7 linked regions of the Sus scrofa genome follow. The protein of the gene in region 1 binds, or shares a complex with, the protein of each later gene. Links are inferred from orthologs where the notes say so. Each region holds a gene or a part of one and is shown in the gene's direction. Other genes may lie near its edges.

Region 1 (4,099 bases):
ATTTTTTTAAAAGTATAAAAAACCCCAGCTTCCAAATACTACAAAAGTACTGAACTCCAGCTGTTTAAAAAGGCATTAAAAATAAGTTTGAAAGTATTAATACTGCAGCTTCCAAATGTAGATACCCATCTCAGCAATAAGTTCTTATTTAACGTGAGATCACAAACTTTAGTGGGCATTCACACATTCCTCTGCAGAGTCAGAAATTCAAATACCACATCGACTGAGCAAAGAGTTAAGTTAGGAAATAAAATTCGTAGTAAATGCAAAGCAAAACTGATAAATCAAACTAAACTTTTTGACCACAATGCCAAAAAGTTTTGCCCCAAATTATCAGCAAACTGGAATCAAAGACAAAAAATTTTGGCTTTCAAAACCTATGGCACTCTCATAACGATAAAAATGATTTGTCAGATTAAAGATAGGTTTCTATCATCCATTTACCAAAATAGTGCACTCCATTAAGGGAGCTGTCATTTTACTTCAACGGTAAAGAAAAAGAAATATTGACACTAGTAAGTCCTGGGTCCCTCAGAAAATATCAGTGAATCAAGAACTTCTGCAGTTTAAGGAAAATCTGTGGATTAAAATCTCCACTTCTGAATCCTGACAGCTGGGGTGTGCATATCCAATCCGAATACCTTGTTAGGCATACAGGACCCTAATTTCTGCCACTGCAGGTAACTCCTACACAACTATTCTTTCAACTTTCTGGCTTCTGCTCAAGTACCCATCCCTAGTACACCTGCCCTAGAAAAACACAGGAACCAGTTCTAGGACGTGGTTATCCAGCTAGCACCCCATACTCCTCCCCGAGACTACCCGCCGCCCGCCCTAGCTCGGCCCGGCCCGGCCCGGCCCACCCCAGCCCATCGCAGCGCCGCCGGGCCCAGCCCAGCGGAACCCCAGCCTACTACAGTCCTGCTCCGGCTCTCGGAACTTCCCCCGCCCACTCCGTCCACGTGAACAGGACCCCCACCGGCTCCGCACTCCACCAATCAGCAGTCACCTCCGCCCAGGATCCGGTCTCCAACGCTCCCCTTTCAAAAAGTCAGCTTACTCCTCCCGCCCTCGGTCCCGCCCCTTTCCCACCTCCCCGCCCCGCTGGCCCCTCCCACTTCCCCAACTCCCTATTCCTCTCTTCCCCTCCCGTTGCCCCCTCCCGCTTCCAGGCTTCGCCCCGCCCCACCCAGGGCAGCGCGCTCGCCCTCTTCTCGCGAGATCTGAGCGTCCCCGCCGCGGCCGCCCGCTTCCCCCTCCCGTCCTCCCACCCCCCCTTCCCCCAATCTCTCCACTCTCCGGCTCTCCTCCCTCCCTCCTCCCCCCTCCACCCTCTGGGCCGGATCTCGTCTCGCTGAGGCGGAGGAGGAGAAGGAGGAGGAGGAGGACGTTCGGCCTGCGCAGTGAGATGTTTGTCCGTCGCCGCCGCCGCCGCCATCGCGGAGGAGCGCGATAAAGGGAGCCGAGCCGGTCGAGAGGAGGACCCCGCGGAGCCGCCCCGCCAGCGCAGCCCCCCAGCCAAGCCCGAGCCGCCGGAGCCCGAGCCGCCGCCGCCCCCGCCGCGGCCGCCCAGGGGCCGGCCAGCTCTCCAGCCCAGCCCGGGGGCCGCCGCCGCCGCCCCCAGCGTCGCCCCTCGCCTGCCCGCCCGCCTTAAATGTGACACCGGCGCCTCGGAGTGCGACCCGAAGCCGCCGCCGGGGAGGGGACGAGCACCATGTCGAATCTGAGCAAAGGCACGGGCAGCCGGAAGGACACCAAGATGCGGATCCGGGCCTTTCCGGTGAGTCGCTTCTCGCCGCCTGGGACCCCGGGGCCGGGGGCCCGGCCGAAAGCCGCACGCGAGGCCCGGGCTGAACTCCCCCAACAGGCCGCAGGCCCGGCCTCCCCTCCCCCACGCCGCCGGCCGCGGGGCGCGAGCCTTCCAGGCAACCGGGCTGCGCGGGGCTCCAGCGCGGCAGCCTCCCGGGCCGTTCCCCGCGCCCCGCGCCCCTGTCCGGCGCCGCGCCCCCGCCCCGGAGCTGCGCCTCCTGGGGCCCCGCGGGCGTCGGCTGCGGCTGGGGCCCCTTCGCCGGTCCCAGCACCCCCGTCCACGTTCCTGGGGTGTAGGCCCAACCCCTAGCATTCCGCTCCTCGGTTCCCGGGACCCCCGGCCCTGCAGGGATGAGGACTGTGGAAGTCCTCCTCGTATGGGGCGTGTGTGTAACTTTTCACGTGGGGTTTCGCTGCGGTTTAAAAAATAACCCAACCTAAAAGATGGCCAGCCAAACGTTTCGGATGGTGAAGGGGGCTGTCCTCTCCTTTTCCTCCCCTCTTCAGGAAGGGCTATGCCTTCAACCTACCCCCGACGCAGTGACAGCCTTTCCACGTAATGCTCCGTAGTAATGTACTAATAACATCGGGTGTGTTTATAACGTCTTTCATCCACAAGCTTCCAAAGCACTTTACAAACTTGTGCAGGAATTGCCTTGCCACTCAAGAGGAGACAAGAGAAATCAAATTGGACAATTGGTTCTCCATTTCTTGGCCGTGGAAGCCCAAAAGAATGAGTAGTCATCACTCCGAGTTGCTTTGCTTTAGGTTTTAGTGACAGCAAACGTATTCTGTTCAGAAACTTTTTCTTTTTTAGCATTACGTTGAGTCATACGCTTGCGGTGTTTAGTATATAGGGTATAACTTTGGATGTCGTATCTGATTCAGATAGCCAATGGCAAGCAATTAAAATGTGCAGTTGGAACAGAGAAACTGGACATACTTGCTCATGTCGCTACAGTAACAGATACACGTCAAGATAGACAAGCTAGCAGTTGAGCAGAAGATTTTAAAACAGTGAAACTAGAGAAAGATGTTGGGTTTCCTGTCTTAGAATCACAAACACATATCCTGTGAGGGGGGGAAAGAGAGGGTCTGTACTTAACTTTTCAAAGCATGCTTTTTTCTAAAGTGTAGTTTGCAATGGGGAAAGATTTATTCATATAAATGTCCTAGTTTGGTAAGAAATTGACCCAGGGAGGTTGAGGACCTCTCTGAAAATTCTTTAGATTTAAAAGAAAAAAAATGCTCCTGATGCAGAATTCTGAAATTGTAATAATGTAAATATTGATGTCAGTGTGAAGAGACTTCCAGCTTTATGTAAATAAAGGGAGGATATACTTAAGGAGAATTAAATTTTTTGATGGTGGTTAAAGGGATTTTGATTTTTTTGAAGGTTTTTTTCCTAAGTGAATATGAGAAACTACAACGAAAATGAGAAATATTGACAGAAGAGCACTAATGAAATTCATTAGCGTGTTTTCCCTTATAATGGAACAATGAACTGGGTTTATGAATTTGTGAGTGATACTAGTTTTCCTACTAAATCAGTTCTGAACATCTTTAGCAGAATCTAGAATTATTCAGCATTTAAAATGATTTTATACAAGTTTTTTAGGAAAAGTTTGCTATTCTTGAAGTCTGAGTTCTCCTAATTAAGATTAGGAGAAATAGCTCACATTTGACATCAACTCATATATGTTAATATTCTGATTAACCATTTATCTGTGTGTAGTCAACTCTTTGATCACTTGGTCTGTCTGTTTCTGTTTGTTTTTCCATTCCTTCATTCATTCAACAAATACTGAGGACTGTGTGCCAGGCGCCCTGTGCAGGGGTTTGGGATAAATAAGTATGGTCTCTCCTTTCTGGATCTTGTATCATTGGGAGGAAGGGGTGGGAGAGAATTTTATTATTCCTTTAGGCGAAGGGTGTCATAACTTTGTGACAGGTTACCTCATAGTCCTGAAACTGATTTTCTTAAGGCGCATTATGGTCATGAGCTAATTTAGACCCTTTTTGTCTATAACTTGTTGCCCTCTAAGTTTTTCTGAAATCTTTAAATGAAGTTTGTAAGTAGCTAGTGATTGATAGCTAGTACTTAGTATCTGCTAACTTTTAAAGCCCAATAGTTTTTTTTATTTCATAAGTATTAACATCACTTGTAAGTAGTTCCAATGAAAAGAATCATTATATTTTTTAATATATAAATTTTAAAGTCATAGTTCTTTGAACCTTCGTTAAAGATAGGTACATACCGTAGTGGTGTGGTATTTCAGTGATTTATTTG
Region 2 (3,930 bases), on another chromosome or scaffold:
ATCTAGAAATAGCATTTCTGACATTAGCTCATTTCTGACTTACATTTTTTTAAAATATTAAGTATCTATAATGTGCCAGGCACCCTGTTAGATGCTAGAAACAGGAGACAAGAAAATGAAAACATGTCAACAGTAAAATTTGTATTTTCTTTCAAAAGGCTTGCAGCCTGTGAAGCAGATGGAATAGGAATAATTATTCACACATTACCGGTGAAGGAGCTAAACATTTCAAGAATTAAAGGGTCTTGTGTATGGTCCCACATTAAGAAGTAAAGAGTCAGAGATTCAGTACTTGTCCCTAATCCTGGGCTCAGGGCACTTTCCAGTATTTCTTCAAAGGAAATCCCAGACTACTAAGTATCTCAACACCTCACTTTCTCAGGAACATAAAAGGAAATCACCTTGAAACCCTTTATAATGTTCATGTGCTCTTAAAAATGGAACAGGTGTTCCCTGGATGCTCGAGAAAAGCAAGGCTTTGAGTGAGAGTTAAAGATCCTGAGCAGCCGTTGTAACCAGAACAAGTTAATCTGTGGAAACAGGAAGACTCAGCCAAGGCGATGCTATTTCAATTGGGTGTCACAGGTGACTCATCAGAGATGGCTTGCTTTCGGCCTCCCGATATTTTTCTTCGGAGTGGGGTGTCAGATTTCCTTCACAATTTTGGACAACAGCCCTCTTGTCCATTTCCAAATTTGTCTGGTTTCACAGCCCTCACGCGGACCCCCACATTCATACCGGAAGCTGAACATTGGCAGGAGATTTAGGAAACGAAAGACCAGGTGGAAAAAAGAAAAAAAAAGATCGGGGGGCCTCGAGAGAGGCCTAAAATGGGGACATTCGCACTTCAAGAGCTTTCCCTAACCTCGCCTCTCAGAATGACAGCTCTCCTCAGCCAGAAGACTACCTCTCCCGGCAGGCACTGCGCGCCTTGCAGACACAGGCTGGTGGGCTCCCTGCTCTCCTCCTCCTCCCGAACCACCCAATAGGAGTCGCCGGCTTAGGCCTCCACCCGACCCAGACCACGCGGGAGCGGGGACAATAAAACTACATTTCCCGACGCGCTTTCGCACTCCTCGTGGCCAATAGGCGCCCGGAGTTCGGAGGCTACGGGCGGAGCCGGATGCGTAGGACACCCCATTGGCTAGGGGCAGCTTAGAAGAGCCGGAACCCGGGAGAGAGAGAAGCGAAATGACATTTCCTCTTTAAATAGCTGGAGCCCGGGCCCCGTCGAGAAATGGCCGCGTCGGCAGGTGGGTCGTGTGGTGGTTACCGAGGTGTGGAGGGGTGGTGGGCCTGGGGCCAAGCTCAGGCTGCGAGCTGAGGCGGCAGCGATGAGGAGCGGGAAAGAAGGATGGATAGGTGGACAGGGATGAGGGGAGGGAGGATGAATGGCGTGGAGGGAGGTGGGCGGTCCGGCTGGACAGGGATGGGGAGGCCGGGTACCCGCCTCCGCTCCGACCTGTTCACTAGGCGGTTGAGGGGGCCACTGGCGGCCACCATCCATCGAGCTTCCCTCGTGAGGCTCCTGCCCTGCGCTCTTAGCTGGGACGTTCCGGCTGTGGCGGAGTCCTCGTAGACACCTCGCCAATTCAGCCCGCACGGTCCCTCCGCGAGCACCGGGCTTCGAGCTCGCCGGGCTCCCAGAGGAACAGGCTGGTTGTTGGAACTTGCATCGCAGCTCGCTCTTGCCCAGATCCTACCTCGCGGTCCTATTTGGGAGTGTCTGTATACAAGTATGTATTTAGAAGGGGGGAGGACAAACCAAACAACCCCTCCCCCCCAAAAAAAAATCCGACCCCACAACAACAAGACTAAACAAAGAAACCAATAAAACCCCGCGACGGTGAAACTGACTCCGAACTTCTTGTGGTTGATTTTTTTTTCCTGCTAGATTTAAATAAGTCTTCCCCAACACCGAATGGGATTCCATCTTCAGACACAGCCAGCGAAGCCATGGACCCCTTCCATGCTTGCAGTATTCTTAAGCAACTCAAAACAATGTACGATGAAGGGCAGCTAACAGACATTGTAGTGGAAGTGGATCACGGGAAAACATTTTCCTGTCATAGAAACGTTCTTGCTGCAATCAGCCCTTACTTCAGGTATGATGATGGTGGAAACTTCTATTGAGATCTGCACCGAGTTCCCTTTTTCCCTCAGTATTGCCCACTTGATTATTATACTGAGATGCGACAATGAAATGAAACCAATGGATTTGTTTGCAGAAAATACATAACTGGCCCTATTTTATTAAGCCTTTTTTTGAGGTGGGGGGGGTACTTGACAGATTCTTCTAGAATTCAGGTGGCTGGTTTTTAAGTCAGTGAATATGTTTCTGTTTGTTTCAGAAAATCTAAAATTGTACTGTCCAATATGGCAGCCACTAGCCACATGTGGCTATTAAAACTTCGATTATCTAAAATCAAATTAAAAATTAAGTTCCTTAGTACACTGGCCATGTTTAAAGTGCCCAGTAACCACATGTAGGTAGTGGCTGCCACATTGTACAGCACAGATATAGAACGTTTCCGTCACTGAGAGTTTTATTGGACAGTGCTGATCTGGAATTTGTTCCAGAATTTTATCCAAGATTTCTTTAGTTCACGTTAACTCTTTTAGAATTTAAAACATAATAGCCTGTTTTTTTAAAAAAAGAAATTACCCATTTAATGGATTGTTTTAATGCCATGGGGATAACAGCAATGAAATAAAAATGAATGCAATCTAGGTTCTATGTGTCTTAGACCCCAGACTAGTGATTATTTCTAAGATTTCCAGAAGTATTTTTAAGCTCAGTTTTCATTTTCATTTAAACTCATATTTATATATCATAAAATTTGAAAAGTAAAATTTTAAAACTTGAGTCTAAAAAATAATTTCATTCTCTAAGAAAATATCAGTGAAAGAGGCAATTTCCTGTTTAACTTCTGTTTTTGTTTCAAGTTCTCACTTTAAGCCTTTTAGTATTCAAAAATGGTGCATGAATGACTGTGAAATAATATTCTCAACCACACCCTAAATGTGCTTTTTCCTTTTGAAGATGTTTACCTTTATAGGGCATATAGCAGTGTAGTTTTCCAGACAGTAGTTTCTGGTTCCTCTTTCTCAGAATACGGGGTTAAATATAGTCACTTCAGTTTGATGCTTATGATGTAACCATTTAGACTTGCATATGGTAGGTCATTAGAGTATTAAGTATTAACCAAAACAAGGCAGTGTGCTGAAAGAAAAAAAAGAAACTCTTGTACACAGAATATATAAAGTTTGGCTTCTAATGGAAACTGTGGGTGATACTCATTTATTGAGGCCATCCATTGATGCTCAGGAAGGTTAAATGCCCTGTGTAAGTCATCTGTCTAACTAGTAACTAGTGGCAATGGTTGAGTGTGATTCCAGAGCTAGGATTCTTAGCCACTGTATGACTTTTAAGGAACAAGAGTGAGTTCTTTTTAAATTTTACCATATGGAACTATTAACTTTTTATTAGATTTGAAAAGTAAAAAAGAAAAAAAATGAAACTTTAACATGAAAATGTCTATATCTCACTGTATTTGATATTCTGGCTTACCTCTGGCTAATGGTTTTGAAGACCTAAACAAATCACTTTATTTTTTTTGTGGAAAGGAAAGTTTGCTTTATTTATAATGGGGTTGCAGGGGGGGTGCAGACTCCTGTCCAAAGGCTGACTTCCCCCACTGTCAATCAGTGGGCAAGAGCTTTCAAAGGTGGAGGGAGTGGACTGCATGCAGAAAGAGCACAGTCAGTTCTGACATGGACAAATCACTTTAAAAAAAGTAAGCTATAGTAGATTTTCTTAATTTCCAAGAAGGAGATGCTTGGAAAACTTTCTAAGCATAAGGCATGTGAATTCAGATGAAGATATTTGGCTAGAAAATTTAAAGATGAGGTTCTTTTCTTTCAGTAGAG
Region 3 (4,097 bases), on another chromosome or scaffold:
GGTCTGGGAAAGTTCCCAGGGGGTTTTGAGTAAGATAAGACTAAACACACATAGAGTTGCCTTGTGGCTCAGCGGATTGAGGGTCCCGCGTTGTCACTACTGCAGCTCCCGTCCCTATTGTGCAGGTTTGATCCCTCGCCTGGGGAACTTGCACATGCCACGGTGCCACAAAAACAAGAGGAAAAAAACCAAAAAAAACCCCTACTCTACCCTTCTAAGATTCATTCATACCTCCAAGCAACACAAGATCTTTTGGGGGGTGAGGTTTCTATTTGCAACGTTCGGTGGGAGAAGATGCGGAAGAAGTAGTCCTCAGTTGGAGCGGACAAGGGTAGGAGAGTGGGTAAGAGGGTGGCAAGAAAGGCCATCTCTGTAGGCAGATATGAGCAAAAGCAACCAGACCTTCTGCCCAGAGAGTAATAACATTCCGTGACGGCTAGCCCAACCAAACTGAAATTAGGAATGCCGTGGCTGGTAGAAAATAGCATAAAAGGAGGCACGTGATCTAACTTGATTTAGTTGAGTTGAACTTCTTTCTTTTACTGGCCTAAGGAGAACAGGCCCCAGCAGCAAATACGAGCTCCCCTGCTTCCCAACCCTTTCCATCGGGTGCATCGGATGCACGCAACGCACTGAGCCCTGCAGAACCTGCTGCCATCTAGCTGGACCTCCTTCCTGCAAGATGGCTCCTACACGGTGACCATTCCCAAGAATCAGCTCTAGGTGCCACCTCCACGTCCAGAGACTGCCCGTGGGCCTCAGTTCCCCGGACAGGATGTCGGACTCGGCCGCACGAGCGGTCCCAGATGTGTTGTCTCTTTGACCCCCTGGACCCCGACTCTTTTCATCTCCTCCCTCCAACCCTCGTTTCTTTTGCTTCTTTCCTTCTCGCTGGTCGAGCGGCGCGGAAGAAAAGGCAGCCGGCCTCACCCCGCCTCCGAAGCATCGACGCAGACCGGCCGGGCTGCAGGGTCGCGGCGACCGGCGTGCGGGGGCGGCTGTGCGCCTTCCCGGGTCCCGCAGCCTTCCAGCCCTCCCCGAAAGTCCAAGCCCGCGGCGGGGGTCCTGCGGGCGGAAGTGAGAGGCCAGGCGTGGGAGGAGGCTCCAGGCAGACGGCCCGGGACGACCCGAGCAGGGAGCGCGCATCGCCCGGGCCTTTTTTGGCGCGGAGGGAGGCCGGAGGGGCCGTCCACCGCGCCGAGCCGGGAGGGTGGCGAGGCCGAGCCGCCGCCTCCGGGACTGGGAGGAGGGGCCGTCTCGGGGGCGCCGCCGCGGCCGGGAGAGGCTGGGCGGGCGCGGGCGGCCCTGCGCCGCCGCCGCCGCCGCCTCCCAGCGCCAGCGTTCGGCAGCCTCCCCGGAACCCGGCGAGCGCGGAGAGCTGGCGGGAGCCCCCGCTGCCCCCGGGCCCCCAACCATGTCGGCCGAGGAGATGGTGCAGATCCGTCTGGAGGACCGCTGCTACCCGGTGAGCAAGAGGAAGCTCATCGAGCAGAGCGACTACTTCCGCGCCCTCTACCGCTCCGGCATGCGTGAGGCCCTGAGCCCGGAGGCCGGCGGCCCCGAGGTGCAGCAGCTACGCGGCCTCAGCGCCCCGGGCCTGCGCCTGGTGCTGGACTTCATCAACGCCGGCGGGGCCCGCGAAGGCTGGCTGTTGGGCCGACGGGGGGAGCCGGGCGGCGGTGGGGAGGAGGAGGAGGACATGGACGAGGTGAGCCTGCTGTCCGAGCTGGTGGAGGCGGCCTCCTTCTTGCAGGTCACGTCCCTGCTGCGGCTGCTGCTGTCCCAGGTGCGGCTCACCAACTGCCTAGAGCTGTACCGCCTGGCGCAGGTGTACGGGCTGCCCGACCTGCAAGAGGCCTGCCTGCGCTTCATGGCCGTCCACTTCCACGAGGTGCTCTGCAAGCCCCAGTTCCATCTCCTGGGGTCTTCTCCTCCGGCCCCCGGGGATGTCAGCCTGAAACAGAGGCTGAGAGAGGCCCGGATGACTGGGACTCCTGTGCTCGTGGCGCTGGGTGATTTCCTGGGGGGACCCCTAGCCCCTCACCCCTATCAAGGAGAGCCCCCGTCCATGCTCAGGTACGAGGAGATGACCGAGCGTTGGTTCCCGCTAGCCAACAACCTCCCTCCAGACCTGGTGAACGTCAGGGGCTATGGGTCCGCCATCCTGGACAACTACCTCTTTATAGTGGGCGGCTACAGGATCACCAGCCAAGAGATCTCCGCGGCCCACTCCTACAACCCCAGCACCAACGAGTGGCTCCAGGTGGCCTCCATGAACCAGAAGAGGTAAGCAAGCGCCCAGCCGTGCTGCTGCTTTCCCGCCTTCATCTGTTCACGAATTTGGTCCCCTAGTGTTTGCTGAGCAGTCACAGGAAGTTGTGCTGGGATGGGAATGACATCCTGGGGAGCGTTGGTGGCCTTTGGCAAAGTTACCCATGAACTTGGCAAGGAAGCCGAGGCCCCAGTGAAATCAACTATCTGAGTCATTTATTTGCAGATATTGCACCTTTAGACTGCCCCCCCCCCAACTTTGCGTCTATCTCAGTGGAAAAAAAAAGATGTGTGTGGTTTCCTAGAAGGATACCTTTAAAGAAAACTGTAATTTTGCTTTTATTTTTACCTTTTTATTTTTTAGGAACTAATGCTGATTATAATGACACATGGGGCAGTAACCTGTAACACTGATGTTGGCGAATCTTGTTAATGACCTTGAAGCTTTAAGCACTGGGGCACCAACCTGTGATCAGAAAATAACCGTTAGAATGTCAGCTGTATAGGAGATCATCTTTATTTTTTTATTCTCTCTTTTTGCAGCTCACTTTCTTTGCAGACAGTCTTCATCATGGACCCAAAACTTGAGCCTTACATTGGTCACCTGCAAAATTAGAACATTTCCATTTGTCCCAACCTTCTACCTTCCCATCCTGCACATCCCTCCCAACATGCACTGGGGTGACTTGAAGAAAGGAGAAGAAAAGGAGATGGGGGCAGGGGGAGACAGAGCCAGGAAAAGAATAGGAAAACAAGAGCAAAGAGCATTATAGGAAGAAGTGGTAGAAAGAAAGATGGTAGGGCCCAAGATGGCCTAGAGCCATTCCAAAGAGGGGAGAAGAATCAATGTAACCCAAGGGAGGACAGGAATACCCTTTCTTCTGGTCCACCTGTATCCATCTCAAGTACCACCAAGATGCCTGCCCTGAAGTGTGGAATGAGGATTTGGGAACTCACAGCCATGCAAAGAAAGTCTTAACAGGAATGGGAAAGTCATCACACATATTTACTTGACTTAAAGTCCTCCCCCAAGGCTGAGCAGTTGGGGGGGGGGGGAAGGGAATGAGTCCTGGCCTTTTTTCGACTGTAATATAAAATTCAATTTGGAAGGTTTTTTTTTTTCCCCTCATAATAAAAAATACAGAGTTATTCACAAAAAATAGAAAAACGTCAGAGAATGAAGAAGCAGAAAGACTGTCACTCCTACTTTCTCCTTCCTGGAGGTGATAACCATCTAGAGGTTGGCGAATTTTCTTCTAGGATCTCTTTGTTGCATTGCATTATTTGCACCAAGGGGGATGTTACTGTATTTAAATTTTGATATCAGAATTTTTTTTTTTTTTTTTTTTTTGACTATGCTTGCAGCATGTGGAACTTCCTGGGCCAGGGATTGAGCCTGAAACACAACAGCGACCCCAGTCACAGCAGTGATAATGCAGAATCCTTAACCCACTGAGCCACAAGGGTACTCCATCAGAGCGTTATTTTATTTCAGTTTTTGTCTTTTTTTTTTTTAGGGCTGCACCTGTGGCATATGAAGGTTTCCAGGCTAGGGGGTCTAATCAGAGCTGCTGCTGCTGGCCTACACCACAGCCACAGCAACAATGCCAGATATGAGCCACGTCTGCTCCGTACACCACAGCTCATGGCAATGCTGGATCCTTAACCCACTGAGTGAGGCCAGGGATCGAACCTGCAGCATCATAGTCCCCAGTCGGATTCCTTTCCGCTGTGCCGTTACAGGAACTCCCAGAGCATTATATTTAAACAGATTTTAAGAGTGTTAGTTGAATCAACAAATGACCGTGTAGTGGTGATGGGCAATG
Region 4 (4,121 bases), on another chromosome or scaffold:
CAAAAGACTTAAACATTTAATCAGACGAAGCAGAGTAAAAGCATACTGGACACTCAATAAAGATTTGTTAAATTGAGCTGGTTTCTAGACTCTACTGCAAAATCCTTATCAGTAGTCCCAGATACACACATTTTGGTGTGTATTCAGTTGATTTAGTCTAGCTTAAAGAATCTCTTCAGTAACACATATGCACTTCGTTTATAATTAGTCATGTACATTCACCAGATTGGGCTTGTGCCAAGAGTGGAAGTTAGGAGGGAGGATGAAGCCTATGCGGCCATTTCTGACAACTTTGATCCACGAATAACTTCTATCAAAAGAGAGAGTAAATCTACAACTTTCTGCCTGCTAGCAGTACCAAGTGGAGACCACAGCGTTCGGCTACTGCAAAGATCTCACATGTGAAGCTGAAGGCTCGGGTTTGGAGAGCAGGTAGCCGCTGCATTGCAGCACAAACTCTCTGGCGTTCAGAGCCTCCCCTCCGCAGGCCAACGGTTCCCTCCCCAGGGCTGCAGGCCCTTTGGGGTGTTGTTTTGCTTTTCCTTGGCCTTGAAACCAGGACGTGAAGCCTCTCTTGCTTCGATCAGGAAAACGGAACATGCTCTGCAAAGTGGAGGGCCTGTTTTGGAGATTAGGGGCTTAGGAGACAAAGCCTACTTAGCCAGCCGCCCAATTTCTCTTTCTTTCATGGTCTGATGTTTTTCAGTGCTCCTCATTCTCACTCTCTCACCCAGCCTGCAAATTTCTATATTTCAAGGGGGAAAAACAGGCATAAAGCTGTCTGTAGTTCCTAGCACTCAATTTATCGGGCCTCTCTTCGCCAGCGTAGCACCCCAGAACCCTCCACCGCCCGAACCCCCGCCCCCCTTGCGCCCCAGGCCGGCGGGTCTCACGGGCGACCCCTCGGCCGCGCACGCGCTCTCCGCGGGCTCTCCGCTGACCTTCCCCGGGAAACCCCTTCAAAAGCATTTCCCCGTCATTTCGCGCCTCCCCCGCCCTTCCTGCTCTTTCCGCTTCCTTCTCGCGCCTGCGCGGACCCAATTGTTTTGGCTTTCCGGTGGGATTCAGCAAAGGAAAAGGGCGGGGCGGCGTTGGGGGGGCGGGGGGCGTCTCCAGAACCCGGGAAACTGCAAAACTGACGTTTGTGCTGCTAGGCGCGCGCGGGCGGCGGAAAAGGAGACTTGGCAAAGGCTGGCCCACAGTCCGCTGTCCGCGCGTTCCCGGGCCTCGGAAGGGGCCCGCCAAGGGGAGCGAGAGCGCGCCGCAGGGGCGGGGCAGGAGCGGCGAGCCGGGCGTCTCGCGGCCCCGGGGCTGACGAGGCGGTGCGGGCGGCGCGGCTCCCGGGGGAGGAGTTTGGCGGTGGTCGGGCCCTGGGGAGCGTGCGGCGGCGCCTAGAGAGGACGCTGCTTTCCGCTCGGGACGGACCTGCCGAGGGAGGGCGCGAGGGAAACCGGAAGGAAGAGAAGGCGGCGGCGCCAGCCTTCCTAGGCGGGAGGCGAGACCCCGGCCCTGGACGCCGCGGGAGGGCCACGCCCCCGCCGCCGCGCCCCAGGGGCCCAGTGTCTTCGGGGCCGCCAGCCGCACCGGATCCTAACCCTCGGGACAGAGGGACTCGGGTGAGCAGGCGTCGTCAGTGCTGGGCCGGGGGGGGGGGAGCCGGGGACGACCTGTGGAGGAACTGGGGGAGGAGGGCCGCGGCGGGAGGGGGCTCGGCTCTTTGTGGCTCGCCGGGCGGGGGGCGGCGGCGGCGGCGGCATCTTTCAAACCCGAGACGCTTCCGCCACGGGCGGGGGAGGGGCGCGGGCGGTCGGCGCCTTGCTCCCCACCCCGCGGCGGCCCCTCTGCGGCCCGGCGTCCGGCCGGTGCGCCGCTCGCGGGGGCGTTTCCGGCCGCGGGTCTCCCGGGCGGCGCCCTGGCCCCGGCTGGCGCCCGCGCTGGCCCAAATCAAGCTGTTTCCCTTAACGACTCGCGACATCTTCGCGAGACGGTGGGCAGAAGGAGGGCAAGCCCTTCGCTCGCATGTTTTTCTTTCCCGGTACATCTGAAGTAGCCAGGAGATGTTTAGATTAACAGAGGTCCCATTGTGATCTGCTCGTGATTTTTAAAAGACGGCAGAATCTGCCCTTTGAAACGGAAAATTGTGTGCGTGTTTACTTTAGACTGTGAAATCCCTAACTTATTTGAACTCGACCACCCTGTCTCCCTATGAATTGAGAAACCTTGGAGTAGAAGAGTATCCGTTAGTTTGATGTAGTTATTTCGAGTTAACAGGTTTGGTTTTGTTTTTTTTTTTTCCCCTGGTTTATTAACCTACTCTCTCTCTTGGGTACCTCAAAGGGAAAGGAATGTACAGTCTGCAGATTTCTAGAATTGTCCGATGCCACGATGGCCCCCACAAGTGAAACTAGAAAAACAGTTTAAAGTGGAAAATTAACTCTGAAAGTGTATGTGTGTGTGAAGTATCTGTCTACCATATCAGCCTTAGAAAAACGTAGGGTACGGTACAGCTCTGGTCACGTGTTGTTGATACATGAATCTGTACGTCTGGCTCCCTGAGCGTTCTGGCATTCGCAGACAACCTATCGGCAGTGTGGCCTGGTTAAAATTATATTTCCTTTTGAAGCAATTAATTAACAGTGCGTTTTTTTGTTTTTGTTTTTTTTTTCCTTCTTCCTTCTCTCCGTGTTGTGAATTTTTGCCTGTGTTTTAGTGGTATGGACTTCAGCTATCGCAACTGTGTGTGACTTATTTTGGTTAAGCTTTGGTAACGGCTTTCTTCCTAACCTTTTTTTCAGAAGGGCTGTTTGTGACGGAAAGAAAATCGAAAAAGTCAAACCAGTCAGTTGTTTGCTAGTCTTGATGATGTGAAATTTTGCTGATGTTCAGCTTAGTTCACTTTAATCTTTTGTTGGTCTAGTGCTCATTGAAGCCCCTTTAGTTTGGGCCCTGAAATTCTCCAGAGGTGGTTGTCCTCAGTAAACACTGCAGGACAATGGCACTTCGGTTGAGCATGCTTTATAGTTTATGCTTTTCCACATAGTGCTATTTTCTCTACAGCCAGTTTTGTAGGATGCTATCAGTTTTCTCTTTTTTGCTCTGGCAATAAGCATTACCATAAATGCGGTTAACTTTGGTTATTCACACGGCCTTTAAGGAGATGGGTGAGAATAATTCATTAAATGCAAACATTGTAAATAGGTTTAACGTGGATGGTAAATCCATGGAAGCTTGAATGCAGTCTTAAAAGCCAAAAGGTATTCTCAAAGATTTTACTTATTTATTTAGAAAATAATTGTTTTTCTCCTTGCCCACATTCCTACAACCAGGAAAAAGGATTGGTTTTGCTGTCATAAAAAATATGAATGAAAACGTCAAAATCCTTCATTATATGTTAGTATTATCATTTTCAATTTTGTGGAGTTTGAATAGAGCAGATGATATTTAAATAACTCAGTACTATAAGTAACTAATTCAAGTAACTTTTTAAATATATGAAGATTACTCCTGGTTCTCTTGCCAAGAATTGTCAGTATCTGGATTCCTCTGTGTGAGAAGAAGGGATTATTGTAGGAGATTTGGAGAAAATATAACCATTTAATGAAACAAGCTTTTTTAAATTCTCTTTTTTTCCTCAGCTCCACACCCATACCTCTAACAAGTGGTGATATGTAGTGAGTTCCATCATAGGCAACAGATTCTAAGTATTCCTCAGTTTACCTTTTTTTTTTTTTTTTTTTGTCTTTTGTCTTTTTTTTTGTTGTTGTTGTTGTTGCTATTTCTTGGGCCGCTCCCTCGGCATATGGAGGTTCCCAGGCGAGGGGTCGAATCGGAGCTGTAGCCACTGTAGCCACCGGCCTACGCCAGAGCCACAGCAACTCGGGATCCGAGCCGCGTCTGCAACCTACACCACAGCTCACGGCAACGCCAGATCGTTAACCCACTGAGCAAGGGCAGGGACCGAACCCGCAACCTCATGGTTCCTAGTCGGATTCGTTAACCACTGCACCACGACGGGAACTCCTACTTTTTTTTTTTTTTTTTTAAAGAAATTTCCGTTGTCAATCATTGTTAAGTGGCTAAGCTCTTAATGACCTCATGAGTATGTTTAATATCTGTGAAAT
Region 5 (3,953 bases), on another chromosome or scaffold:
TTACCTGTAGTTCAGACAGCCATGGTGGGCAACTAAACAGGCCTCATGTGTACCAGAATTTACCCAGAACTCATTTCTTCAGTATGAAGAACGACCAAACTTTATGTACAGAGAACTTTTTACAAAAGGCGCACCTTTTTTAGCTGTGGGGTCCACCCTCGTCTAACCCTTCTGGCTGCCTGACTATAAGTAGGGGCCATTTTGCTGGTGAAAAGCCTCTGCCATGATCCTACGTTTGATTGGACACTGACAAAATCAAAGTTTCGCAATATTTAGAGCTGCTGTAGCTATTAACAACACAAAATAGGATGAATCAGTAGTATGCTAGCTGTCTTTCAGGTTGGTGGCAGTCAGAACATGTGTAATATTCTCTACCTGGTCTGTAGCTGTAACTGTGATGTACAGGCAAAGCAAATATTAAAAAAAAAAAAAACTTACGGAAACAAATAATGCAATGATATTAGGATATACACTTTTGTATTTTTATTCTTATATAAGGTTATTTGCTGGCTATTGTTGGCCTCTAGTTCAGTCTGTGTTATTTAAAATCTAATATATGAATTATTTGGGTTGAATTCATGTTCGGGCCACGTTGTTGTATGTATTGATGTACAGCCTTGAATGTGAATAATTATTGTAAACTATATTTTACAACTTTTTTTCTGGCTTTATTATATAAATTTTCTATTTGGTCGATGATTTAATCATATCATAATTTAATGAATCTGTTTATTCTTTTTTTTCAAATATTTGTGCTTTAGGTGTAGTTACCGGATGATGAATTTTCCACGTATGCTCGGTAGCCTTGTAATAAAAAAGCATGTAGAATGTAGACGCTCACTGATGTAGCTTTCTTTGGCCGGGGCGCGGGTCGGGCGTCGCAGGGCGACCTGAATTCGGGGCCAGGAACAGGGTGTTCGGGCACAGCGCGCGCCCGGCGAAGACCGGCCAGCCCCTCTCAAGCGCGACGCCGGGCTCCACCGCCGCCTGCCCACAAGGGCGATGCCGGACCACGCCGCGCCGGACTTGGCCGGAAGGGGGCACGGCCGGCCGCTTTTCCGGACCGGAACTTCCGCCTCCCGCGTGACGCCGGGGTGGGCGCCTTACGAGGGCGGACCCGTGGGCGGGACAGAGCCCGGAGGACTGTATTAAAGGCCGGACGCTTCCGGCAGAGGGGAGCTGTGGCCGGGCTTGCTGGGATCATGGCGGAGAGTCACTGCGAGCTGCTGCCGCCGGCCCCGGGCGGCCTCGGGGCGGGGCTGGGGGGCAGCCTGTGCCGCCGCTGCAGCGCGGGGCTCGGCACCTTGGCCCAGCGCCCCGGCAACGTGTCCAAATGGGTCCGGCTCAACGTCGGCGGCACCTACTTCCTCACCACTCGGCAGACGCTGTGCCGGGATCCGAAATCCTTCCTGTACCGTTTGTGCCAGGCCGACCCCGACCTGGACTCGGACAAGGTGAGGGCCGCGCGGGCCAGCCAGGAGGATTCGGGCCGCCCCCGTCGGCGGCCCCACACACACCCCCTGACCCACTCTGAGAGAACCGCCCCGGCTCCGGGTCTCGCTGCCCCCTGCTCACCAGCCCGACCGGAGCCCCCGACTCCCTGTCCTGGGCCGAGGATGAACAGGATGGCGCCCTGGCTCCCACCGCCCTCCGAGAGCCCCAGCCACTCCCCCTCGGGGTGTCTGTCTCGCCCTCCTCTGCTCTTCCGCGGAGGAGGTTTCCCAGACCCCGGACTCTGCTGGGATCTACTTTCTTTTCTCTCCTAGGTTCTTTTGCCCCCGCCGGGAGCACCTTCTCTTCTCCGTCCCGGTGTACTGACTGGCTCTGGAATCCCGAATCCCCATGTTCCCCTCATTTTCTCACATTCCAGACGTTTTACTTAACGTTAGCGTGGGGTTTGATACTAGTGGCCTGCCTTTCTCAGTGACTTGCATTTAGGGAGTTGGCGCTCCATCGTTTTCAGCCACAACACGCACCCACACAACAGTCTCAAAAAGTGCCGTCCATAGAGTGATTTTCGAAGGGAATGTGGCTCATATTGAGGCGTGGCTCAGGGGTGTCAAGGAAGGGCCAGATAGGAAATCTTTTTCAATCTACTTTCTCATTAACCTAGTTTTCCTGCTGCTCTCTCAAAAGGATAGGAGTTTCTAGGTTGGTTTGCTGCTTGTGTTTCATCAGACTGTTGTGCAGGTGATAATAGAAGCTGTTTCGATTATTACTTAAAGAATTGTCTCGGCAGCTGTATGGCATCGAAACTCAAAAAAAGGCTGTGCTGGAAGAAGAGTTATTCCCTGTACGTATCCTAGGCGGTTCACAGGCCTTATCCTAACTTTCCTGCCTTTGGCTTGGGCCTACGTAATTGCCCTTGGCCTTGTGCCTTGCCAGCCCAGCATTTGCCAGGCATAGGCTTCCCAGAAAGAGTGTGATCCCTTGTCCAGATCCAGAAGCCCGACCGAGATCATCCTCAGAGTGGCCTGACCTTAGGATCGGGAAATGAGACCTCGAGTGACCACAGAACCACCAGTCCTGGGTAGAACTAGGGTTGAGATGCCAGCGCTCCTGCCGCCCACCCGCACCTCCCCCAAGCCTCAGCTGTGTCCACTGATCGTTTGACCAAGCTCCGCTCTCGGAGAACTGGCCTCCCAGAAAATGACAGGCATCTCCAGGATAGAAACAGGCTTTTGTTAGCTGTGATTTTCCTTTTATAGCGTGGCTGTATGTTTTACTGTTCTGTTTTTCTTTTTAAACAGTGGGTCTTAGTGGTCATTCCCTTGCATTTCTACTTGAGCGTTTTCCAGTTGTGCATATGGAGTCCGATTTTACATTGCTCTTGTTCACGGGGTTGTTTTGAGGCACTGGCTGTCAATGCACTAGACGGATTCAGAGTTTGCACAGTTCAGGCAATTCATCTCTTTATTTTACTGTCTCGAGACTATTTAAAAACAATTATCATGTACTGTATAGGAGTCCTTTGGGGCAAGTAATTAGTTAATCTCAGAATATATCGATATTATAGTTGCTCCCTTTCATCATCATCCACTTAACTACATTTGATTTACACATTATGAAATCACACTTCACAATGTGAAGGTAGTGCAGCAGATACAGCATCTGTCTCAGAATAGTTGCTGGAAGATAAGTTTTTAGCTTTAGCCACAGATGCGCATTTTCCGGAAGGCGTAAGGCTAATTCCCATTAGTCATGGTCATCAACCCATGAGCGAATGTGTAAGGGACCCCTTCTTAGGTTTTACCCCCTTCGTTTCTGATGAGAGAATGTCCCAGAGATTCACTTGTCGATAATTAAACCCTGAGTGAGGAATCTGGACGAGGGTGGAGGAGGGGAAGGGGTGTTTGGACGGGTGGGACACTAGTAATTAAGCGACTGGAAGAGAAACAGGATGTTGATTCACGGAGGAAAATGTCCAGGCCCTGACCTCGTAGTTAAGGTTAATGAACGCATACCTGGCAGGTATGCTGGGGCTGGAGGGCCTGGTGGAAGATTTTCTGCTGGGCCTTTGACTCAGGGTTGAGCACCTGGGCTTGCAGCCGAGTGCTTGGGTGAGGGGTTGGGTTGGATCTGAGGGGGAGGAGTTCCAAGAAACGGAAGCCCTGGAGTCTCTCGGCAACCTGCCGGGTTGGGAGTTCCCTGGGAGTGTGGCTGCAGCTTGCTCTTGCCGGGCAGAATGTCTGCTGGGGAGCTCAGCCGTGCAGCCGTGTAGGAGAGGTGGTCCCAGGACATTTATCTGAAGGAGCGCTTCCTTGAAGAGCCCGCAGACAGGTTGCTGGGGGCGGAGGTGCAGAGCTGGGCTGCACCTGGGACCCACTGGCCGCCAAGCCCCAAGCCTCTCGACCCTTGCCCTCTCGTCTCAAGTCCTGACTCTGGGCCCGTTGCTGCCCTGACCCCCTCGTTAGGGCTAGTCCGAGTGTGAAGAGTGTGAATTCTCACTTCTT
Region 6 (3,500 bases), on another chromosome or scaffold:
TGTAGCTGCCGGCCTACACCAGAGCCACAGCAACACGGGATCCCAGCCGCATCTGCAACCTACACCACAGCTCAGAGCAACGCTGGATCCTTAACCCACTGAGCGAGGCCAGGGACCGAACCCGCAACTTCATGGTTCCTAGTCAGATTCGTTAACCACTGAGCCACGATGGGAACTCCAGCCCTAAATCTCAAACTACAAATCCATGTGAGCTCAGCCCAGGCAGCTGTGAGGCCAGAAGCCAGAGGAATGTCCGGAGGGTCTCTCATTGGTGGCAGTGGGCCAGAAGAGATGTGGCCCAGCTGGACCTCTGCCTTCTTGGCCTCCTTGGCTCCACTCTGTCCCCATCTTGTCCCTCCACAGCACCTGCCCTTAAGCAGAGCACTTGCTACTCTGCTCCTTTTAGCCCGTTTCCCAGCCTACTTGAACAGGGGGCTCTTGCCTCGGGTCTCCACTGTGCTCGTCCACAGTGGGGGCCAGTGGTGTTCGTAGAGTGAAGGAAGGATTTCACTGCCAGTGACCTTACTCCTCCTTCAAGTCCTTGAGCAGATGGCATGATCCACTCTGAGCCAGGAGCACCATGGAGGTCTGGGAATAGACAGGAGCATCAGTCCTCCAAAGACTTTATCATGTGCTTCGTCCCTCCTGCAGCACTCAGGCTCGGGTCTGTGTGGCCCACACACGTCCTTTCTGTCCTGTGGGCCTGTTTTCCTGGGCTCCTGCTGGCAGGGGGGCTGCAGTGGGAAGAAGCGGCTGCTGTGTGTCTACCTTGCATTTGGGGCAAAGGCTGAAATAAGGAGCGTCTGGCATAGGGCAGGGAACAGTCCTCTTTGGAAGGTCTTACTGCAGAAAAATAAAACACCAGAAAAAGGCTGTAATTGTGCGGGGGCCATTGTGCAAGGGGGTTCCCATGGCAGGCGCTCAGGAGCTGGTGCCTGGGTGCAAGCCCAGGGAAGGGCCTGCACAGTCGGGGAAGAGGGCTTGGGGCTCAGGCTCACAGGTCCTGGCTCAAGGCTCTGTGGTCTTCTGTGTTCACTCACTCAGTGCTCCTGCCTTGGGGACAGGGAGGGGGAAGGGGCAGCCTGGGGCGGGGGCTGGGCCTGGGCTTTGAAGGGCCACAGCCACAGGGCTCAGGCCTGAGGATTTGGGGCTCAGCTGGTGAGCACGGGGTCAGATAGAGGGAGTGCAGGGTTCCACGTAAGACAGGTGGGCAGCTAGCTGGAGGGGGTGAGAGCCGTCGACAGCGTGAGGAGAGAGCACAGGGCAGTCACCGGGCACTGGACACAACTGGGCTGAGAAGGTGAAGCCCTTGGAAGCAGGAGAGTGGGGCTGGGGCAGCTCCTACAGGGGCGTGGAAGGGAGCTGCTGCCTGGGGGTTGGACTTTTTTATGAAAGTTGATGGGGAAAGTAGAAGGCGGGGCTGTGACTTGGGGGCAGCTGTGTCCCCTTGAAAGGGGCATGGAGGTGGCCTGATGTCAGGAGAGCAACCTTCAGCAGCAGCGCTAGGCTCAGCAGCAGGGGCTCCCCCCGCCCCTTGTCCTGCTCTCTAGGCGGCCCTCAGCCCAGCAGTGCTGCTCCGGCCACTTTCCTAGAGTCCCCAGGGCCCCTCATTTGAGGTGCCCACAGCCAGTGAGGTAGTGTCCACTCCTCCAGCTGGGGAAGCCAAACCCTGCACACAGGGGATGCACAGAACTTGACAAAGGGGGCTGAGATGGGAGCCTGGTGGGCCCGCCTGAGGGAGTGCTGGCTGGAGGGCTGGAGGCTCTTGCGCCCGTCCAGTTGAGGCCACAGTTGGGGACCTCATGATTGAGAGTGGGGCCCTGGGGACCTTGAGGTGGGACAGGTGGGGTGGAGGTGGCTGTAGGAACAGCTGTTGGGCAGCTTGGGCCACCCGCAGTCTAACACTGGAAGAGCCTGGCTCTTGGCAGAAATCCAGGAGACTCCTGGCCCCACCCTCCAGGCTGTATGCTGGGGACACACTTGTACTCGTCATCGCCATGGTGGGTGGCGTGGCTGTTGGGGGTGTGTGCTGCTGTTGGGGCAGCTAATGGGTCTGCTGGCCGACTCAAGTGGTCAGTGACGCCTGTCCTGTGTCCCCACAAGGTATGACCCGAGGCACAACCGCTGGTTCCAGATCCAGTCCCTGCAGCAGGAGCACGCTGACCTCTGCGTGTGTGTCGTGGGGAAGTACATCTACGCAGTGGCTGGCCGCGACTACCATAATGACCTGAGTGCTGTGGAGCGCTACGACCCCGCCACCAACTCCTGGGCCTATGTGGCCCCACTCAAGAGGGAGGTAAGGAAGCCCCTCCAAGAGGGTTCTCCTTCCCGTTCCTTCCCAGGCTATGCAGAGTGAGCGGGAGGCCTGGCCAGCAAACCCAGCCCAGGTATCAGGGTCCACACCCCTACAGACTCTGCTTTTAGGTTAGGGTGTGGAACCCCTGAGGTTGAGCTAGCCACCGAGGAGAGACCTCTTCCCCAGAATTCCGCCCTCACAGTGGTCTTGTACCTTGGCTCCAGTCAGCTCCTTTAACTCTGCAGCCAAGTGTAGACTGAAGATTTCCCCTGTCTATCCCTCAGCTCTGCTGGGGCACATCCACTGATGTTAAACTGGAGGGATGCTGAGAGGCAGGGCCCTGTGGCATCAGACCTACTCTACAGGCCCAGAGCTAGAAACACTTTAAAAGTTGTATTTTTTTTTTTCAATCATGTGTATCCTACACTGTAGCTTGGTTTGTTCCAGCTTGAGGAGGAAAACTGTTTATTGTGCAAAGACAATGCTTTCACCCTGTGCACTCGGCTGGGACCCTGGACCCAAACCCTACACAAGACCCCAGGCCAAGAGAGGTCCTTGCCAGTCTCCTGCATGCATCTTGGGTCCCAGCCTTTATGTGTAGGCTTTGTGCGCATAAGGGCTGGCATTGTCTCTTGCAGCACCTGCTCTGCCACACTGGCCCTGGGCCTTGGCAGGAACTCCTGACCCCCTGATCGTCCTCCCACCCCCTGAACCCTCCATCTTTCACCCATCCCCAGGCCCATGGCCTCAGATATGAGGGCTATTCCTGACGGGTCCAGCTCCTCTCCACAGCCCACCAGCACCCCAGAGAGGCCAGGGAGCCCCATGGTGGCTCCTCCCAGGAAGGGAGAGTGGCCTGCCTCTGGGGAGGAAGGCCCTCTGAGGGTACTTTCTCCCTGTTCAGAGGAAGGGGGTCAATTTTTTTTTTGGGAAATCCCAGGGGTCCTTGAGACCTGATGGACTTGGAGGACCTGGAGCTCTGTCCTGGAGGAAGTGGTCATGTGGGAGAGGGGCTCCAGGGGCTCCCTGTCTGGGCAGTGGGGAGGCTGCACTTCTCAGTGTGGCCACAGAGGGGCAGCCTTGGCCTTCAGCCAGCTTCTCCCTTGTGTCCCAGTTCCCTTCTTCCTTTTTTCATCCATTTGTTCCTTTAGTAGCTATTTAGTAAGCACCTACTGCATATCAAGTCCTGGGGATCCAGTGGTGA
Region 7 (4,190 bases), on another chromosome or scaffold:
GCCGGGCTTACAGGGCAAGGGTGGGGGCTATCGTATAACAGAAACCCAGGCTTCATCTGCAAAACAAGTGCGACAAGGGTTTTCTTTTTTTCTTTTTTGGCTGCTCTGTGGTTGATGGAGTTCCAGGGCTCTGGATCAGATCCTTAACCCACGGTGCCCGGCCAGGGATCCAACCTGTATCCCAGCGTTACAGAGACACCACAGAGTCCATGAAGCCACATCAGACACTCCTGGAATAAGGGTCTTTTCTGAAATTGAGCAAAACATACATTAAACTAAAGAAAATAATGGCTTTCAAGTGAGAGAATTTTTTCATATGGTTTCATTGAAAACACAGCCCGGGTTTTGTATATATTGGAACCAGAGTAAGGAAGATTTCTTTCTTCACCCGCAAGTGACTGTGACATATCTGAGCAGCCATATCCTCTGTTTTTTGGGGGGTGGTTTTAGTGGGGGGTTTTTTGCTTTTTTTTTTTTTTTTAAGGGCTCTACCCAAGGCATATGGAAGTTCCCAGGCTAGGGGTCAAATCAAAGCTGCAGTTGCCAGGCTACACCACAGTCACAGCAATGCCAGATCCCAGCCACGTCTGCCACCCACACCACAGCTCAAGGTAATGCTGGTCCTTAACCCACTGAGTGAGGCCAGGGATTGAACCCGTGTCCTCTTGGATACTAGTCTGGCTCCTATCCCACTGAGCCACAAGGGGACCTCCAATATTCCCTGGTTTTTAAGGTAGTCCTCTGTTTGACCTTGAGCTGAGGCCCTGTGCCCCACCCCACCCCCGCCCCGCCCCGCCCCCACCCCTGAACCCAGTGCCCCTCTCATGAAATAGGACAAAGTGCTGTTTTTCCCCAGAATTATTTTCTGGTGCTTCAGCTTTGTGTTGAATTTTTATACTCTTACGAATTTTCATGGGTTTTTCCTACACTGTTTTCTGCCTTCCCCACTTCCATTTCCCGACCAGGAGGCCAGCGTGACATAATGCAGCCAGAGCAGGCCTGACCCCCTTCAGAGGGCAGCTCAGGAGACTCAAAGAGTCGCTACAAGTCGGAAACGAAAACTGCGCGCCTTGCGTGCTGACGGAACTTAATGACCCAGTCGGTCAAGTTCGAACCTCCTGCAGGAACATAGCGAGGCAGATTCCTGGCATCTGGTCCCATGTCGCTGACGCGCCAAGGAAAAAGCGTCCCCTAAAAACCTCACACTTATTTATGCTTTTGGTCCCGAAGTGAAAAAAATTCTGTCGTTTGAAACCTGTCCTGAGATAGGGTTAACTAGCAACGCTTGGAACTAGTGGAATCCAAAAAAAAAAAAAAGTCATTGTCCCCAGTCGCCCTGGGGCGGTTGGGAAGTCTGGCGCGAAATGGGTGCCTTCGCTTCCCGGCGAGGGGCTTTGTGGGTGGGTGATGGCAGGCCCTGGAGGCCCCGGATCCAGCGCACAGCCGCCCCTAGGAGAGGACACTTGTCACTCGGTGTCCCTGGCTCAGGCGTCGGCGGGAGGCTTGCAGGAAGCCCCGGAAGGGCGGAGAGGGGAGGCGGCGCGGGCGGCGGTGACTCAGCCTGGAGTATGCGGGCGGGAGCGCGCGAGGGGAGGCGAGGCAGCGCGCTCCGCAGCGCGCGGGGCGGGAGGCGGTGCCAGGCTCGCAGGGGTTAATTGGGCGGTGCCGTCGGCGCCCCGCCCCCGCCCGACCCGGCCCCCTCCCCGGAGGCCGAGGCGCCCGGCAGTATTTATAGCGGCGGCGTCCAGCGTCCAGCGTCTCTCCCGCTGGCCCCGGCCGCGGCCTTCCCGAGCAGCGCGCGCAGCGGCCCCGCTCCCCCCGTGAAGGCGCCATGGAGCGGCCGGCTCCCCTGGCCGTGCTGCCCTTCTCGGACCCCGCGCACGCGCTGAGCCTGCTTCGCGGCCTGAGCCAGCTCCGCGCGGAGCGCAAGTTCCTGGACGTGACCCTGGAGGCGGCGGGCGGGCGCGACTTCCCCGCGCACCGCGCCGTGCTGGCGGCCGCCAGCCCCTACTTCCGCGCCATGTTCGCGGGGCAGCTGCGCGAGAGCCGCGCTGAACGGGTGCGCCTGCACGGCGTGCCGCCCGACATGCTACAGCTGCTGCTCGACTTCAGCTACACGGGCCGCGTGGCTGTGAGCGGCGACAACGCCGAGCCGCTGCTGCGCGCCGCCGACCTGCTGCAGTTCCCGGCCGTGAAGGAGGCGTGCGGCGCCTTCCTGCAACAGCAGCTCGACCTGGCCAACTGCCTGGACATGCAGGACTTCGCCGAGGCCTTCAGCTGCGCGGGGCTGGCGAGCGCGGCGCAGCGCTTCATCCTGCGCCACGTGGGCGAGCTGGGCGCCGAGCAGCTGGAGCGGCTGCCGCTGGCGCGGCTGCTGCGCTACCTGCGCGACGACGGGCTGTGCGTGCCCAAGGAGGAGGCCGCCTACCAGCTGGCCCTGCGCTGGGTGCGCGCCGACCCGCCGCGCCGCGCGGTGCACTGGCCCCAGCTGCTCGAGGCCGTGCGCCTGCCCTTCGTGCGCCGCTTCTACCTGCTGGCTCACGTCGAGGCCGAGCCGCTGGTGGCCCGTTGCCCGCCCTGCCTGCGCCTGCTGCGCGAGGCGCGCGACTTCCAGGCGGCGCGCTACGACCGCCACGACCGCGGGCCCTGCCCCAGGATGCGCCCGCGCCCCTCCACCGGCCTCGCCGAGATCCTCGTGCTCGTGGGCGGCTGCGACCAAGACTGCGACGAGCTGGTCACCGTCGACTGCTACAACCCGCAGACGGGCCAGTGGCGCTACCTGGCCGAGTTCCCCGACCACCTGGGCGGGGGCTACAGCATCGTGGCACTGGGCAACGACATCTACGTGACGGGTGAGTGGGCCGGGGGATGGTCAGCAGGACCCCCTGGGCTGGCCGGACACCCGGCGCACCTGGGGAACCACATCCACCTGCAGGAGAACCCACAGCCCCTGGAATCCCGGCCCCGCACCTGGGCTCAAGCAGCCGCTTCCCTTCCCCTCCTCCACCCCCAGGCTGGCACGCGGGTGCGATTCCAGGGTGATACTTAAGACAGAGAAGAAGAACCCCTTGTGTGAGTTAGGACAAGCTGCTGTTTGTGGGTCCTCCCCACCCGCAGGGCCTGCCTGGAGAGCCTCCCTCTTGTGGGGAGGTGCCCCCATTTGGTTGGAAGCTACAGGAGCAGTCACGCTGCACAATGAGTGCTTTCTTTTGCTCCCTAGGGAATCCGGGGACAGGCCAGGGACTGACGCCCTGTGACACATCCCCTCTCCCCCTTCGGCATTTCTCCCTCACGTCTGAGCAGCACAGGCCTCCTGACACCCTCACTTAGTCACCAGTGACAGCATTCCCTCGGCCCTGCACCTAGGCCCAGTGCAGCGGGTCACGTGGTGTTTAGGCTGCTGCCTGCTCAGCGACTGTAAACAGAGTCACATGCTAAGAGGTTTTCTTCCAGTTAACTTGGCCCAAACCCCAAAACTGTGCCGAGTCATGCTGGGCGGGTCCCAGCCCGCCCCAGTCCTGGGCATCGCCCGCATTTTTTGTAAAAGATGAATCCCGGTTCAAACAGGAGGCCACCGCCTCGCGTGGGCCGAGGAGGGCGGTCTGTGGGACGGCTATATAAGGAAAGATCCCGACTCAGGGCCTGCGGGGCTGGGGCTGGATCAGGCAGGGAGACGCTGGCTGGGCCATCACAAGGCCTTGTCCAGCCTGGCACATTCAGGAGAAAACCACCTCCCGGACGCACGCTGGTACTCTGTGGGGCTCTGAGCTGACGGGTGGGGCGCGTCCCCGCCTAAGGACTGGCTTGGCTCTGCGGCCACAGCTTCCTTGGCCCCCAGCTCCAGGTCCAGCCTCTGCGGGAATCTGCTAGAATCAGTCCCTTTCATCTCAGGTGGGCCCTGTGTTTGGGAACCTTCCTGCCTGCCTCCCCCCCACCTCCCCCACCCATCACCACAGAGGTCTGGCCTGTGAACTCCCAGAACTGGTCCAACTCGCCCCGGCTTCGCACACCCTTCCATAAATGTCTCAGCTGAGCAACTAATCCTTTGGGTTTAAGACAGGTGGCTGGGTCCTTCCCTACAGCTGCCTGTAGGGAATTTCATGGGGGCGACAAAGTGGCTTCAGCTGCCTTTGCCGCAGTTTTCCTTTAGAAGGAAGAAGCAGGCAGAAAGGACTTACCAAGGACTTTGT

What was found.
Region 2: CUL3 (region 1) and KBTBD8 share a complex: the UniProt entries of both Homo sapiens proteins name them as parts of the BCR(KBTBD8) E3 ubiquitin ligase complex. The link is inferred for Sus scrofa from reciprocal best matches to the Homo sapiens genes CUL3 and KBTBD8.
Region 3: CUL3 (region 1) and KLHL42 share a complex: the UniProt entries of both Homo sapiens proteins name them as parts of the BCR(KLHL42) E3 ubiquitin ligase complex. The link is inferred for Sus scrofa from reciprocal best matches to the Homo sapiens genes CUL3 and KLHL42.
Region 4: CUL3 (region 1) and KBTBD2 share a complex: the UniProt entries of both Homo sapiens proteins name them as parts of the BCR(KBTBD2) E3 ubiquitin ligase complex. The link is inferred for Sus scrofa from reciprocal best matches to the Homo sapiens genes CUL3 and KBTBD2.
Region 5: the proteins of CUL3 (region 1) and KCTD5 are in contact, whole or in part, in a cryo-EM structure (PDB 8U83), measured with the Homo sapiens proteins. The link is inferred for Sus scrofa from reciprocal best matches to the Homo sapiens genes CUL3 and KCTD5. Residues at the interface, in NP_003581.1 of Homo sapiens: Thr24, Met25, Asp26, Glu27, Lys28, Tyr29, Val30, Asn31, Ser32, Ile33, Trp34, Asp35, Leu36, Leu37, Asn39, Ala40, Glu43, Asn48, Ser50, Leu52, Ser53, Glu55, Glu56, Leu57, Arg59, Asn60, Ala61, Tyr62, Thr63, Met64; in NP_061865.1 of Homo sapiens: Trp45, Phe55, Leu56, Thr58, Thr61, Arg64, Asp65, Lys67, Ser68, Pro96, Thr97, Tyr98, Phe99, Gly100, Pro101, Leu103, Asn104, Tyr105, Leu106, Arg107, His108, Gly109, Lys110, Leu111, Val112, Ile113, Asn114, Lys115, Leu117, Val122.
Region 6: the proteins of CUL3 (region 1) and KLHL22 are in contact, whole or in part, in a cryo-EM structure (PDB 8K8T), measured with the Homo sapiens proteins. The link is inferred for Sus scrofa from reciprocal best matches to the Homo sapiens genes CUL3 and KLHL22. Residues at the interface, in NP_003581.1 of Homo sapiens: Thr14, Arg17, Ile18, Arg19, Ala20, Phe21, Pro22, Met23, Met25, Asn49, Ser50, Gly51, Leu52, Ser53, Phe54, Glu55, Tyr58, Tyr62, Leu66, Met118, Asp121, Ile122, Met124, Tyr125, Arg128, Val129, Gln133; in NP_116164.2 of Homo sapiens: Asp73, Tyr74, Arg76, Gly77, Met78, Gly81, Gly82, Leu83, Lys84, Glu85, Leu92, Ile93, His94, Leu117, Gln121, Val125, Cys128, Gln129, Gln131, Pro133, Trp146, Glu150, Asn151, Asp154, Val155, Arg157, Leu161, Phe162, Asp163, Ser165.
Region 7: CUL3 (region 1) and KLHL21 share a complex: the UniProt entries of both Homo sapiens proteins name them as parts of the BCR(KLHL21) E3 ubiquitin ligase complex. The link is inferred for Sus scrofa from reciprocal best matches to the Homo sapiens genes CUL3 and KLHL21.

The regions. Positions count from the first base shown.
Region 1 is NC_010457.5:126,284,349-126,288,447, reverse strand, and holds the start of CUL3 (cullin-3), read left to right. Parts: upstream 1-1,299; 5' UTR 1,300-1,714; coding exon 1,715-1,780; intron 1,781-4,099. UniProt on the Homo sapiens protein: Core component of multiple cullin-RING-based BCR (BTB-CUL3-RBX1) E3 ubiquitin-protein ligase complexes which mediate the ubiquitination and subsequent proteasomal degradation of target proteins.
Region 2 is NC_010455.5:48,485,789-48,489,718, forward strand, and holds the start of KBTBD8 (kelch repeat and BTB domain-containing protein 8), read left to right. Parts: upstream 1-1,130; 5' UTR 1,131-1,237; coding exon 1,238-1,253; intron 1,254-1,894; coding exon 1,895-2,105; intron 2,106-3,930. UniProt on the Homo sapiens protein: Substrate-specific adapter of a BCR (BTB-CUL3-RBX1) E3 ubiquitin ligase complex that acts as a regulator of neural crest specification.
Region 3 is NC_010447.5:45,952,088-45,956,184, reverse strand, and holds the start of KLHL42 (kelch-like protein 42), read left to right. Parts: upstream 1-1,297; 5' UTR 1,298-1,414; coding exon 1,415-2,286; intron 2,287-4,097. UniProt on the Homo sapiens protein: Substrate-specific adapter of a BCR (BTB-CUL3-RBX1) E3 ubiquitin-protein ligase complex required for mitotic progression and cytokinesis. The BCR(KLHL42) E3 ubiquitin ligase complex mediates the ubiquitination and subsequent degradation of KATNA1.
Region 4 is NC_010460.4:40,603,137-40,607,257, forward strand, and holds the start of KBTBD2 (kelch repeat and BTB domain-containing protein 2), read left to right. Parts: upstream 1-1,321; 5' UTR 1,322-1,616; intron 1,617-4,121. UniProt on the Homo sapiens protein: Substrate-specific adapter of a BCR (BTB-CUL3-RBX1) E3 ubiquitin ligase complex that acts as a regulator of the insulin signaling pathway, modulating insulin sensitivity by limiting PIK3R1/p85alpha abundance in adipocytes.
Region 5 is NC_010445.4:39,426,809-39,430,761, reverse strand, and holds the start of KCTD5 (BTB/POZ domain-containing protein KCTD5), read left to right. Parts: upstream 1-1,153; 5' UTR 1,154-1,202; coding exon 1,203-1,454; intron 1,455-3,953. UniProt on the Homo sapiens protein: Its interaction with CUL3 suggests that it may act as a substrate adapter in some E3 ligase complex. Does not affect the function of Kv channel Kv2.1/KCNB1, Kv1.2/KCNA2, Kv4.2/KCND2 and Kv3.4/KCNC4.
Region 6 is NC_010456.5:50,797,976-50,801,475, forward strand, and holds part of KLHL22 (kelch-like protein 22), read left to right. Parts: intron 1-2,103; coding exon 2,104-2,296; intron 2,297-3,500. UniProt on the Homo sapiens protein: Substrate-specific adapter of a BCR (BTB-CUL3-RBX1) E3 ubiquitin ligase complex required for chromosome alignment and localization of PLK1 at kinetochores.
Region 7 is NC_010448.4:67,432,013-67,436,202, reverse strand, and holds the start of KLHL21 (kelch-like protein 21), read left to right. Parts: upstream 1-1,390; 5' UTR 1,391-1,831; coding exon 1,832-2,852; intron 2,853-4,190. UniProt on the Homo sapiens protein: Substrate-specific adapter of a BCR (BTB-CUL3-RBX1) E3 ubiquitin-protein ligase complex required for efficient chromosome alignment and cytokinesis.